2 linked regions of the Xenopus tropicalis genome follow. The main gene of each other region encodes a partner of the protein of the gene in region 2 in a complex. Links are inferred from orthologs where the notes say so. Each region holds a gene or a part of one and is shown on either strand. Other genes may lie near its edges.

Region 1 (4,165 bases), on a different chromosome or scaffold from region 2:
TGAATAAACTTGCATGTTTGAGCAAAACTGGTCATGGTGCTGAGTATTGTATTACATCTCTGTTTCCTCCCCTCTCCATCGATCTAGCAACAAACCACAAATACAGTGGAAGAGCCTCTGGATCTGATCAGACTTAGCCTAGATGAACGGATCTACGTTAAGATGAGGAATGACCGAGAGCTGCGTGGACGTTTACACGTGAGTGTTTAGTATAGGTGATTTGTTTTGTGCGGATCATATTTGAAGCGTAAGGAAAACCTGTTTCCTTGTTTGCTCTTTTATACAGGCATATGATCAGCATTTGAACATGATCCTGGGAGATGTGGAAGAGACCGTGACAACCATAGAGATTGATGAGGAGACATATGAGGAGATTTACAAAGTAAATATTATTTTAATTGCATTCCTTTTATTGCATTTACACACGGATTTATTACCTATATATATCTCAGTTACTGGTTGCTTAAGAAATTAAATGAATCTATATTCCGATAAGGTATACCTTTTTAAAAAGGCTTTGTGGCTTAGCCTGCTGAGCAACAAGCACAATAAATATTTGTATTAAAAGGGGCAAATAATGCCATAAAGTGAAAATTCATATAAGATGTGAAAAATTGTAACCCTTAGCAGGGCCGAAACTAGGGGTAGGCAGAAGAGGCCCGTGTCTGGCCGCAATGGTCGATGGGTGCCAAGCAGGTACCTCTACTGCCTAATTACCCTGAGTTCCATCCATTCTGCTCTGAGCCTCGCTTAACACTGCTCTGTCTTGCTCCTCCCTCAACCCATCTGTCACTGTAGCGCTGGTAGCAGGGGCGAATGGGGGAACCAGGGAGGGGTGACGCGTTGACTGCCATGGGCTCAAGCGGCTGTCCCTTGGGGTGCAATTTACTTATCACTCGTCTCTATAGTTGCCATATGTACCACAAGATAGCAGCTCCCTGACACCTTAAAATTGCTGATATCAGAATAGCACTCAATAGTAAGAAAGCCAGTCCAGCTTGGGACTCCTCCAGTTACATGGGAGTAGGAGAAACAATAGGTTGCCTGAAAGCAGTTCTAATGTGTAGCGCTGGCTCCTTCTGAAAGCTCAGACTTGGGCACAATGCACTGAGATGGCGCCTACACACCAATATTACAGCTAAAAATACATTTGTTGGTTCAAGAACAATGTTAAATGGTAGAGTGAATTATTTGCTATAGAAATACACCATAAAATCATGTCAAAATCCCTTTAAACCTAGGCAACGAGGTTTAGTATAGAAATCTAGTTTTCTAACCCATTCTTTATTAAAAAAAAAAGGGGGAAGATAATGGTAAACAAGTGAATTGTAATCTTTAACCCTTAATATCAGTAAAAAGTGCAATTATGGGTTCTCTGGCTTCCTACAGAGTACAGGTATAGGCCCCATTATCCAGAATGCTCGGGACCAAGGGTATTCCAGATAAGGGGTCTTTCCGTAATTTGGATCCCCATGACTTACAGATACTACAAAATCAATAAAACATTAATTAAATGCAATAGGTTTGTTTTGCCCCCAGTAAGGATTAATTATATTTTAGTTGGGACCAAATATAAGGTATTGTTTTATTACTACAGGGAAAAAGGAAATCATTTTAAAAATCTTAATTATTTGATTAAAATGGAGTCTATGGGAGAAAGGCTTTCCGTAATTTGGAGCTTTCTGGATAACGAGTTTCCGGATAACTGATCCCATACGTGTACTGAAAGTAGGGCTGCTACTTGGTTTGGTTTTAATTTTGTCTACCAAAATCAGGTCGGAGTCATTCTAGAAACTTGTCTGAAAAAGTATCTGCTTCCCCTGAACTGTACTGAATGCAGTTTGGCAGGCATTTTACCCACTTATGTGGATTATTTAAGTTTCCATTCTGTAGACAGATGCATAGTTACTATAGATTTTACTGTGTTTAGCATGAAAAATGAAATCAACATATACCATAAAAGCAATTATTTGATGTTTTGCTAACATCTAGTTTATGATGTATGATTAGGGCAGAATCATATTAGACATTGCACTGATCATGAGAATGTGGTATATAGTAGGCCTCGCAAGCTGCTGCTCCTACCTACAATATAAAGGAATTCATGTTTTAGTTTGTCACTTTGTTGGCATCTTTCCCTGATTATCTCCTGCATTAAATATATTCTGCATAATTTTCAGTACCTGTGTGTTAATTTTATTAACACGGTTTGGATTGTTTTGCTTTGCAGGAGCTCTAGTGTAGTGCTGCCCTCGGAACTTAAGGAGAATCAGACAGTATGATTCCCAATTCAGGGTCGGACTGGGCCGCCAGGATACCGGGAAAAATCCCGGTGGGCCCCGGCGGCCCAGACCCGACCCTTGCCCGTGCCCGACCGCTCCTGCCCCGACACGTTAATTTTACGTGCTAGGGGGAGGACATCGGTTGGGAGGCCCTCTGGGGGCACGGGCACCTGCAGGGCCCCTGGGGCGGGACCCTGCCCTAATTTAATTGGTTTAGGTTGAATGTAGGTGTGAGTTTGACACAAGAGGCAGTAATGACATTATGTGGGTATAAAGACTTGCCAGCTGTGAGTTTGTTGTTTAAAACCAGTCCTTTACTTACAGCAGTAACTATTTGTAGCTTCAATAAAAAGGTTGGTTTACCCTTAACTGCACTTAAACCTACTTAAAGGAGAAGGAAAGGCTAAGTCACTTGGGGGTGCCAAAATGTTAGGCACCCCCAAATGACTTAGATCGCTTACCTTTTACCCCGGGCTGGTGCCCCTGTATGGAGAGAACAGCACCAGCCCGGGGTAGCAGCGAGCGCTTCCTACTTCCTATTCGCTTGCGAGCGCATGCGCAGTAGAGTGAAAAGCCGAACTTAAAGAACAAAGTCGGCTTTTTACTCTACTGCGCATGCGCCGGCCGACGGATTTCGCCGGGAGAAGAAAAAGGAAGGAGGAAGTGCTTCCTACAGGTACCCTGGGCTGGTGCTTTTTTCTCCTAACAGGGGCACCAGCCCAGGATACAAGGTAAGCGATCTAAGTCACTTGGTGGTGCCTAAAATTTTGGCACCCCCAAGTGACTTAGCCTTTCCTTCTCCTTTAAAGCTGTGTGTAATTCTATTGTGTTCTAAATTGTACTTTTCTGTAATGCAAAATTTACAACTTTTTTTTTCCCCCTTTTGTTTCAGTCTACAAAGCGGAACATCCCTATGCTGTTTGTAAGAGGCGATGGTGTGGTTCTTGTAGCTCCTCCCTTAAGAGTTGGTTGATTTCCTTCTAACAAGCTGTTGTCCTGTTACACCTCTGGATTTTAATTTGCTATGATTACTGAACCTTTTTTGGATACCCACAGGAACTGCAAGGATCAGTTGGCACTTAAGTTTATCCTTTAAATGGAAATATCTTGTTGCTTTCCTATATTGGTGAACAAATGTGTTTTAATCAAAAACAACCAGGCTAATGGCAGACGCCGTTTTTTTTTTTTTTTATAAATTTGTTTTGATCGTTGTTTATACAAGTGGGGATTGTATAAGTTTTCCTTTCTGTTGACATCAGCTGCATAGTTAATACAGGTTTTACTGTATTATGATCTAATAAATTTGATATTTACCATTTAATCAGTCTGATGTCTGGTAACAGGTTCTGTAATTTATCATTCAAAAAGCCTGTAACCGTTTTCATTGGGCTTGGTGATAATAGTCTGAATGTGAATAGTCTAAATACACACTAGCTGAGGTTCCTGGCATTGCCTGAGGAACTTGATGTCTTTAAAAAAAAGAATACTTAAAAACACGGTTAAACACTTGTACTACACATAGGGGGGAATTCACAAAAGTGGAGAGAGCCTTTTTTGGAGTAAAAGTGATGGAAAACTTTCTCCAGATTCACAAACAGAAATCCGCCTAAGTTCCGACTCAACTACCACTTTTCCGTTTTTGGTGAAAGAAAGACAGTTTACAGACTCTCTTGTGAATTTGTCATTTAAACGTAGTTTTCCTGCCATTTCCAAAATGGAGTAAAGCTCAGTGTAACTCTGTCAGACCAATTCTAAGCTCTGCTGTTTTGCTTTTTCACCCAGTCTCCCTATCCCACCTCTGGTAGGGGCCCCATTGGGGGATCATGAACATGTTAACGGGGATTAGCAGACTCATCGTTAGGGGACAAGTCTCTGTCTAACCC
Region 2 (3,649 bases):
CCTGGTTCTTTCCGGCATGCTCCATGATTTTCTCATAAACTATCTCATTCATGATCTGGAAACGTTTGATGGCCTTTTTCTCTGTAATGCCTACATAGGTCTGTTCCAGTGGCACCGGACGAAAACTGAAAAGATGTTTAAATAAAGATAAATATTGTAAAATTGTTTCTCAAACAATTTAGACTTGTCATGTGTCTCTTTTTTCAAGCTCATCTACTATGTTTAATAGTGACCATTCCTTGTTTCCTATTATATGCAACTGTATGACTGTAATGGCCGCACCACTAACAGCCAAACGCACACACAAACACTGGGATGCATAATTCATGAACTAGTAAACATTAATGATTAGAAATGCAGTTTGTTCTTAATTCTATGGTTGAAGCAGATACCTGTTGTCAAAATAAAAAAGCCCCTTGGCAGGATCCACACGAAGAAATGTGGCTACATCCTCATAATTAGGCAAAGTGGCACTGAGACCAATAAGCCGGACATCCTCCTGTGTCATCTCAATATTACGAATCGCTCGAGCGACCAAAGACTCCAACACCGGACCTCTATCATCGTGCAGCAAGTGTACTTCATCCTTGAAGAAAAGTCTCAAGTTAGATATAAGTTACTTTCCACTAGTCATTTCCAGGACAGTCCACTAACTTAATAGGTTGCCTAAAACTTTACACACTGAAACAAGGCACAAAAGATTAAGATGGCAAGCTTTGCTAGTCCCTTGACCTCACCAGAATGATCAGACGGACAAGCTGAGTGTATGTTCTCTCTCCTCCTTTACGGGTGATGATATCCCATTTTTCTGGGGTACAAACTATGATCTGTGTGGCGTTAATTTCTTCTTTACATAGCTGGTGATCTCCTGTCAACTCTGCCACGGTAATGCCATATGTTGACAAACGCTGCAAAGGAAAATGCAGACAATAAGGCCCAACATGCCCTGTTAGAATGCTTCTTGTGATAAGCAAAAGCTACACTAGGAGTTGGTATTGATGCATATGAGGTAAGTAACACCATGTTAGGTACATGTTCCCACTTCATAAAGCACCAATATTATGCATTGAAATATGGCTCAGTTGGGATGTAAGAATTGAAGTTACCTTGCTGAAGCTGCCCACCATTTCCTGGACCAGGGATCTCATGGGAGCAATGTAGATTATTTTGAAGTTGTCCACATTGATGGTGCCATCCACATTTATGTGCTTTCCAATCTCCCGGAGCATGCACATGAGAGCTACATTTGTTTTACCAGCTCCCTAGAAAAACAAAAGGAGAAAAATAAATTCACAGTTCCAATTTCTTTTTTTCTTCGTCATTATAATAAACAAGGAAAATGTGTTAATTTCCGATTAATAAAGAAATGCCTAATGCTTAATTTTCACACTAATGTAATGGGGGAAAGGTAGGAGGGAGCCCAGACAACTCATAGTCATTTTTCACCAGTAGATATCGGAAAGGGGCTTGATTTGGGGGAAAAAAAGAAAGTCTATCACTGCAAGAATTTAAATTGTATAAAACGTTTACTTCTGGGCATCAGTCTGAAACTGATCATCCTTTAAGAATTGCTGCAGTTTCACCTTGTGCATAGTAGAGTGAAAAAACATTCATTACAATGGTTGTTCGGCTTCTGAAAACTTTTTTCAGTTTAGTTGTTTTCAGGAAGTTACTAAAATAAAATACTTTTTTTAAACTGTTTTCTATATTTTAGTTTTGACCTTTTTTCTAATTGAATATTAAAGTTTTATTTTACATCTTTTCACATTTCCCAGCTGCAGCTCTGAAAAGGGGGAGGGGATCACCAACTGTTCTAATTTGAAACATTTCTTATCTTTGGCCCTATGTTGCTCTGCAGCAGCTGCTGTAGCTACATTTTTGCTACATTAGTTGATACATTTCTTAGCACCATCTATGGAATGTTATTACCTACTGTAACAGTTCAAAGTCTGCGTCTGGATAACTGTGATGACTAAAACACCAGAGAGAACAACCTTAAAATTGAAACTTCAGTTTAAGAAAGAAAAATGGTCAAAAATGAAAAAAACTGAAAGCAACACCTGAACTGAAATAAGTGTTTGAAAGGTGAACTACAAAAGGCTCTATTAGTATATTTGCACATTATGCAAAGTGTACAAATTGCATTATAAGGAAAAAAGTCCTTACGGTGGGAGCACAGAGCAACAGGTTCTCATCCGTTTCCAATGCAGCTTTAAACAATTTGCTCTGGATTCTATTCAGAGTCTTGAAGCCTTCAAAGCCAGACTGAGCATATTTAGGTAGCTTTTCAACTGGGACCAGTTGCTGAACAGGTAAAAGGAAAGAAAAATTAAAAAGTGAGGCAATCCAAGTTCACAAGGAAAATTAGTCCAACAATATCAAGAACTCCACTTACCTCATCAGAAGCAAAAGGTTTGGGTTTAAGGGCAGGCACATGCACCTCTTCATACCCTTTTCGCTGACGTCTAAAGGAGCCATCAGGCAGTTGGCATCGTTTGTTTGCCATGAAATGACTACCCTGGGCAAAAACCAAATCCTCCAAGTCCAATACTTGACGAGGAGCGAAAGCCTAGATGGAAATAAAAAGACAAAACCAAAATGACCCTTGGATTATCACAAAAAAACAAATGGCTTTTATCATATTAGCTTAATACAGCTTCTATTTTGCTACTGGCTTACATATGTAATTAACCTGCAGGATAAAATTTCAAATGCTATTAATCTAGGTACCTTTTTAAAGAAATTGGTTACATTTTAAATGACATTATCCTGCTTCACTTGTTCCTTCTTTACCATTGCCTTGGCACTGCACAAAGTCTTAATTTGGAACAGTATTCCATGCCTACCTCTCCTTGCTCTGTTTCCATGTTCTCCAAATCCATGTCTACGTTTAACTGCCTAACCTTGTCTCTGTGCCCACGTGCCTCCTGAAAATAAAATAATATATATAAATGCCTATAAATGAAAACACAGCAAAAGAATCTCCTCTCTAAGAACATCATCTCTTACCCGAATCAGGTCCTCCTTTTCAGTCTCCTGTAATTGGTATAGATATTTAGAGAGTTCAGGATCGGACTCCATTTTGCCCATAATCCTTTCTTTCTCTGCTTCACTCTGAGCACTGGCCAAGAGTGTGCAATACATAACTGCAAAAGAATATAAGAGTGGTCAAAAACCTTAAGTTAGGGGATATTTACAGTGTGTATGACGACATTAACAAGACCAATACACTAAGGGGCACATTTACAAAAACTCTAAAATTTGTCTTTTTTTAAAAAAATTTTCAAACTCAACTAAACTCATTTCCTCAAATGAAGAATCTTCAATGAAAGGGAAGGGACCTCTGCCCTTGACTTTTACATCAACTTAGCAAGTTTAACCTTGCGAATTGTCAGATATGGATTTTTAGCCGTTTAGACAAATAGTAAATCTCTGAAAAGTCGCAGCATTTTTTTCCTGTGACTTTTTGTACTTAAAATCCGATGGTTAGTAAATGGGCCCCCTAAAAGAATTCTTGCAGAATAAACCAACACAAATGTAGAAAAAAAACTCACTCATCATACGATGTTGCCGCAGTACTTTGATGAAGTCAAATGTGTTGAACCCCAGCAAGAGAACCAGCTGGTTTTCACATTCACGATCATCTCCT

What was found. Proteins that work in one complex are often made in the same cells at the same time.
Region 1: snrnp200 (region 2) and lsm3 share a complex: the UniProt entries of both Homo sapiens proteins name them as parts of the U4/U6-U5 tri-snRNP complex. The link is inferred for Xenopus tropicalis from reciprocal best matches to the Homo sapiens genes SNRNP200 and LSM3.

Annotation. Positions count from the first base shown.
Region 1 is NC_030680.2:132,914,082-132,918,246, reverse strand, and holds the end of lsm3 (U6 snRNA-associated Sm-like protein LSm3), read left to right. Parts: intron 1-87; coding exon 88-198; intron 199-286; coding exon 287-382; intron 383-3,174; coding exon 3,175-3,255; 3' UTR 3,256-3,603; downstream 3,604-4,165. UniProt on the Homo sapiens protein: Plays a role in pre-mRNA splicing as component of the U4/U6-U5 tri-snRNP complex that is involved in spliceosome assembly, and as component of the precatalytic spliceosome (spliceosome B complex).
Region 2 is NC_030679.2:125,093,327-125,096,975, forward strand, and holds part of snrnp200 (U5 small nuclear ribonucleoprotein 200 kDa helicase), read right to left. Parts: coding exon 3,555-3,649; intron 3,147-3,554; coding exon 3,010-3,146; intron 2,928-3,009; coding exon 2,847-2,927; intron 2,570-2,846; coding exon 2,396-2,569; intron 2,305-2,395; coding exon 2,167-2,304; intron 1,263-2,166; coding exon 1,107-1,262; intron 909-1,106; coding exon 738-908; intron 587-737; coding exon 393-586; intron 126-392; coding exon 2-125; intron 1-1. UniProt on the Homo sapiens protein: Catalyzes the ATP-dependent unwinding of U4/U6 RNA duplices, an essential step in the assembly of a catalytically active spliceosome. Plays a role in pre-mRNA splicing as a core component of precatalytic, catalytic and postcatalytic spliceosomal complexes.